2 linked regions of the Bombyx mori genome follow. The protein of the gene in region 1 interacts with the protein of each later gene in a pairwise test. Links are inferred from orthologs where the notes say so. Each region holds a gene or a part of one and is shown on either strand. Other genes may lie near its edges.

Region 1 (3,297 bases):
TTAGGCCAGAATTACAGTCACCTTTTTTGTAGCGATTTTAATAACCTGTGACTCAAAATAATAGGTTGGGGAAAAAGTTTCTTCGCATGTTTTAAGAAAATTCACAACATTTCATAATATAATTTATTTACATTTAACTAAAGTATGTAGGTACCAGTTTGTTCGATAACTTTTTGCCAACTTGTAGGTAGGGACATGATCCCATTGCTATAGAAATTTTGGGGCTTCTGATCAAAATACCGCGACAATTGGTTTTGGCCTAAAGAGTTCTGAAGAGACCGAAACAGGTGGAAATCGGAAGGTGCAAGGTCAAGACCATACGGCAGAAGCATTAACATCTCCAAGCTCTCTTAATTTTTGCTGAGTGGCTAAAGATGTGTGAGGTCTAGCGTTATCATGATAAAAAACCACAGCCCTTCTGTTGACGAATTCCGGCCGCTTTCTCTCTACTTCTTGCTTTAATCTCTTCAGTTGTTCGCAGTAGAGCTTAGAATCGATGGTCCTGCCTTGTGGTAACAACTCATAATGAATAATGCCCTTCCAATCCCACCACACAAAATGCATTACCTTGTTGCGAGCTACACCGTGTTTCGCCACAGTCTGTTAAGCCTGACCGGCCTTTGCCGAAATATCAAGCTTTTTCGTGTACCCAGTTTTTTTTCAAATGCGCCAAACCTGTTTTGTGGTCAATTCCCAGTTTTTCAGCTACGTCGTAACTACTGATAAGCCGATCTTGCTCCATTTTTTTTAAAAATGGCATCCATTTGATCTGTAATAGGGCGACCAGAGTGACGTGCATCTTTGACATCAAAAATTCCGGATTGAAAACGCTTAAACCAAATTTGTGCTACTCTGACAGACACTGCACAAGGTCCATAAACATCGCAATTTTTTTTACAAACTGCAATGCTAACAAGATCAAATTGTCAACAGGCACGCAGCGGATTCGGCGGCGGCGGCGTAGTGGCAGGAGGGGGCGCGCGAGCGGCGGGGGGTGCGGCCTATGGCGGCGGCCCCCGCCCCGCGCCGCCCTCGCCCTCCCCCGTGGCGCCCCCCTCCGCCGTCGCACAGAAGCGCGGGGGTGAGGTCCGCGCCCCGCACCCGCCGCCGCACAAGCCGCTGTACGACGCGTACTCGCAGCCGTCCGCCAAGCGCAAGAAGCGCCTCGCCGACAAGATCCTGCCGCAGAAGGTGCGGGACCTCGTGCCCGAGTCGCAGGCCTACATGGACCTGCTCGCGTTCGAACGCAAACTCGACGCCACCATAATGCGCAAACGTCTCGACATTCAAGAAGCCCTCAAACGCCCCATGAAACAGAAACGAAAACTTCGAATATTCATCTCCAACACGTTCTACCCCGGTTTGTATTTTCTATTTATTTATTTGGTAGCGAATACCAAAGCCTCGCGCCGCTGCCGGCAGCACCACCGCGCTGAACTTATTGATACATTGGCTTGTGGGCGGCGCAGGTCAGGGCGACAACGCGGTGCCGTCGTGGGAGCTGCGCGTGGAGGGCCGTCTGCTCGACGACTCCAAGAACGATCCGAACAAGGTTGGTGCGACGCGCTCGTGGCCCCGGACGCTCCTCGTGAATGGGTTTCATTAAACGTTCAGCACAGAATGTCCCGTTGCAGGTGAAGCGGAAGTTTTCGTCGTTCTTCAAGTCTCTGGTGATAGAACTCGATAAAGATCTGTACGGGCCCGACAACCACCTCGTGGAGTGGCACCGCACGGTGACCACGCAGGAGACGGACGGCTTCCAGGTGAAGCGACCCGGCTACAAGAACGTGCGGTGCACCATCCTGCTGCTGCTGGACTACCAGCCGTTGCAGTTCAAGCTGGACCAGCGGCTGGCGCGGCTGTTGGGCGTGCACACGCAGACGCGGCCCGTCATAGTGAACGCGCTGTGGCAGTACGTGAAGACGCACCGCCTGCAGGACCCGCACGAGCGCGAGTACATCGCCTGCGACCGCTACCTCGAGCAGATCTTCGGGGCACCGCGCGTCAAGCTGGCCGAGGTGCCGGCGCGCCTGGGCGCCCTGCTGCACGCGCCCGACCCCATCGTCATCAACCACGTCATCGCCGTGGAGCCGCCGCACGACGCCAAGCAGACCGCCTGCTACGACATCGACGTCGAGGTGGACGACACGCTCAAGGCGCAGATGAACAACTTCCTGCTCAGCACCGCCAACCAGCAGGAGATCCAAGGCCTCGACTCCAAGATCCACGAGACTGTGAGTCCGACCCCCGCCCCCGCACCGTCCCCGCCCCCCGCCCTCTCTGACTGGCGCCGTCGACTTGCAGGTGGACACCATCAACCAGTTGAAAACAAACCGCGAGTTCTTCTTGAGCTTCAGCAAGGATCCGCAGCAGTTCATCCAGAAGTGGCTCGTCAGTCAGTCCAGAGACCTCAAGGTCAGTGATCACATTAAATTATTAACGTAAGCTAAAAAAAATTATTCTCCACGTGAGCACCGTGACCTGGGTTGCAGAGCATGAGCGGCGGCGCCAGCGGCAACCCGGAGGAGGAGCGGCGCGCACAGTTCTACTGCGCGGGCTGGGCGGGCGAGGCGGCCGCGCGACACCTGCACGCGCGCCTGCTGGCCCGCCGCCGCGACCTCGACCTGGCGCTGCGCCCCGCGCTCCTTTAATTATACTCTTACCCGCCAACTCTGGACTTTCATTTCACTTAATAGCTCTTCAGTTCCTGCCAGACATCATTCTTTATTGTTCATAGCGAAAGTCATTAAACGCTTTCCTGATAATATTGAATGAAATGAAGTGATATAAGTAATGTAAAAAGAAACTGTATCCTGCTTTAAATTAAACACATCAATTATAAACTAGAGGTTCACAGACTTTTCTCATAGATCACTTTCAAAACTTAGGTAGTTCCGGTGGACCCCTGCAGCTACATTTCTACCATATTCCTAAAATTCGACTAAAAATGTGAAGATTTTGATGGAGAATTTTCATACTTAGATGCACTACCTAAGAAAATCTGCGAATTTATTTGTTTAATAATTATTGATCATGCTGTAAGTGGATAACAGCATAGTCAAGCAGACAAAAAATGAAAACAAGCCCACGGCACAAGTCTTACGGCCGTTTTCAATAACGTATCTGAGTTTTCGGATAGATAGCTATCTCCGAATATCAGCAAGAGCGTATCTATCCTTAGTTTGCGTTTCACAATCACGGATAAGTGCTATCTCTCTTTATCCAACAGTAGATAGCTTCTTCCCTCCGATTTATCCGAGCCTCTTGATACGTTTCGTTCTACTACAAATACGAAAC
Region 2 (3,056 bases), on another chromosome or scaffold:
CCTGTAAATTTCCACTGCCAGGAAACTGTTCCTGGTTTTAAAATTTTTAGTGTATGACATAATTGGCTGCACATGTTTGTCTAAGCTTTCACACATTTGAAAGCATTATGTGATCTATGAATATTGGCAATATCACACAGGCTTCAGAACTAGATCTACTTGTTAACTTGAATTTGTGAAGTAGCCCGGAATCAATTCTTAAATCAAGAAACACAATCAAATCCATTTTCACCAGGTGGACAGTGGGTTATTTTGCTCATCATCATAAATGAACTTATACTTCTTACACATATTCAGTTTTGATCTATAACAATTACAAGGATCATCATGACTCATTTTGCGCCAATAAACTTAATTCCTAACTAAATTAAAATGTTTACAGAACGCATGGCACAAGAGATTTATGATGAGATTAAACGACTGCATAGACGTGGACAGCTGCGCCTGGCCAACGGCTCTGCTGCATCATGCTCATCATCAAGTGGATCCGAAGGAGACTGTTCACCGCCTCATCAATCAGCTCATGGCCCACAACGTGCCCGCACTCGTGCACTATTCACTTTTAAACAGGTCTAATAATTAATGCTCCATTTTTTATATTCAATTCTGGTTTAGATCCACCTCATTTTAATTAAAAATGTGTAAAGAAAAAGCCTATATTATTTAAAACTCTTTAGTTTTTAAAAAGGATTTTTCTTTATTGTCATTCAGTAAAAAGTAAGTTGTTTGTTTAAAATATAAATTTTAAAAGAGATTAAGGGCTTTAAATGTTTTTTTCTTATTATGTTACAGAAAACACAATTAAGTTTTTTTATTTTTATTGTTTATTCATTCTGAAGCACCCCCTATCATTATAAATATAATGTGTTTATTCAGGTTCGTATGATCTGTGAGCGAATGCTCCATGATCAGGAGGTGGCTCTACGTGCTGAGTATGAGTCTGTACTCAGCACCAAGCTTGCTGAACAGTATGAAGCCTTTGTGAGGTTCAACCTGGATCAGGTACAATAATATTTTTATACTTAAAGTATTAAATTAGGTTCTGTGGTCTAGCTACATTCTAGCTTCTTTAGGAAACAGAAAGTTATGTATCTCTGCAAATATGAATTGAGTTATCATTATGAATAACTATTAGGAATTTATACTATAGCTTTAGATGCAGGTAGAAGTATTAGATAAATTATTTCTGGTTGCAAATTTTTGTGACAGCAAGAATACTTCATAGATACAAGCAAGTGGCTTGGAATATTCAGTAACATTCACTTGCCCTGAAATATGGTTTTGTAGATTCTGCTGTATGTTATTGTCAATACCAACCTTAATCAGTTCTTGAAAAGGCTCTACTGACTCCTGCGGTAACCATAGTCCTGTTCAATAAGCATGAAATCCTGTTAACAGCTGGGTTTGATTTGGTTGATATCTCCATTCACCACAATGAGAACCTTTTTTTTTTTTTTTATTGCTTAGATGTGTGGACGAGCTCACAGCCCACCTGGTGTTAAGTGGTTACTGGAGCCCATAGACATCTACAACGTAAATGCGCCACCCACCTTGAGATATAAGTTGTAAGGTCTCAGTATAGTTACAACGGCTGCCCCACCCTTCAAACCGAAACGCATTACTGCTTCACGGCAGAAATAGACAGGGCGGTGGTACCTACCCGCGCGGACTCACAACAGGTCCTACCACCAGTAATTACGCAAATTATAATTTTGCGGGTTTCACTTTTATTACACGATGTTATTCCTTCACCGTGGAAGTCAATCGTGAACATTTGTTGAGTACGTATTTCATTAGAAAAATTGGTACCCGCCGTCGGGATTCGAACACTGGTGCATCGCGCTCAACGCGAATGCACCGGACGTCTTATCCGTTAGACCACGACGACTTCAAAAGACCTCCAGAAGACTGAAAAGGATAAAGATACATTGATAAAATATTTAATCTTCTGATGGTTGTGCAAGTGCATGATTTAATGCTGAAGAGCTTTAACCAACACCTTAAGGAGCTTTCACAATCCAGCTGGCTTAAAAACCTAGTGCAGAAAGCTGTCATTCTCGACACAGTGTGCATTGTGAGGAGGTTTCTCCGAAGCTCTAACTGCTGGAGATTTTTATATGGCACAAATAAAATTTTTAGTCCTTTAAGAAATACGTGCATTGTATTGTTTATAATTTTAATTCATTTACAGTATGTGTAATTAATTATTACTTAGAGGTCATTAACATTTAATGACCTCTAAGTAAACTTAAGAGCCATGAGCTTGGCTGCTCATCTCCACTAATTACCTAATAAAACAGTTATTTGGTTTTGATGATGTTATTAGCTAGTTAAGTTGGTTCCTAAATTAGAATTAATTAATTTGGTTTTAACTAAAAATTGGTGAATTACAGGTGCAGCGCCGACCCCCGCCCAGCACGTGCATGTCGCTCGGTATGGACGCCGAACACATGCACCAGGACCTCGTACCCAGCTGTGAGTATTTGTTACAAAGTTGTCCTTTTACACAAGCTCTTGCCCGTGGATACCATTTGGTTCTCTGCTTTGTGAAAAAATGTTACTTCAAAAAAATGGTTTTACCTTTGTTATTGAGGTTTGGGCCTCTTATGTTAACTTCATGTACAAGGTGAAGTAATTAAAACACACATATGTTTATTGACAGTTCTCAGGATCAAAATTATAGTATCACTGTACATACAATATATGCTTGCTGTTTGCATACTGAATAGGTGTCGCTCTTTACTATATAATTGCTTCACGTATAGTCTCGCTTCGCGTTCTTGTATTCGGTTTGATTATTGTCGCACCTTTGTTCTTGTGCATATAGGCCCCTTAGTATGGTGCGATTTATGATACGACCTCAATCAATATCGTTCGTCTACCCTCATTTAGATGACGTTATTGTGCTATTTTTTGGTTGTTAGGGCCACTAATTGATAAGAGATGGCTCCAGTGCCAATAGGTGCGAATTTTACAATTATAATCACAAAAGCAAGCAGTTTCACATTGTAAAATTTTCCGGATATTGATATCTTTGTCTTATCCTTTAATTATAT

What was found.
Region 2: the proteins of brahma-associated protein of 60 kDa (region 1) and akirin protein interact in binary tests that used the Drosophila melanogaster proteins (3 or more experiments, as listed by UniProt). The link is inferred for Bombyx mori from reciprocal best matches to the Drosophila melanogaster genes Bap60 and akirin.

The regions. Positions count from the first base shown.
Region 1 is NC_085116.1:236,019-239,315, reverse strand, and holds the end of brahma-associated protein of 60 kDa, read left to right. Parts: intron 1-933; coding exon 934-1,360; intron 1,361-1,469; coding exon 1,470-1,552; intron 1,553-1,619; coding exon 1,620-2,234; intron 2,235-2,304; coding exon 2,305-2,415; intron 2,416-2,492; coding exon 2,493-2,651; 3' UTR 2,652-2,670; downstream 2,671-3,297. UniProt on the Drosophila melanogaster protein: Involved in the recruitment and site-specific anchoring of the Brahma complex at specific promoter sites.
Region 2 is NC_085128.1:2,361,394-2,364,449, reverse strand, and holds part of akirin protein, read left to right. Parts: intron 1-382; coding exon 383-570; intron 571-876; coding exon 877-1,002; intron 1,003-2,393; coding exon 2,394-2,630; 3' UTR 2,631-3,056. UniProt on the Drosophila melanogaster protein: Molecular adapter that acts as a bridge between a variety of multiprotein complexes, and which is required for embryonic development and for normal innate immune response.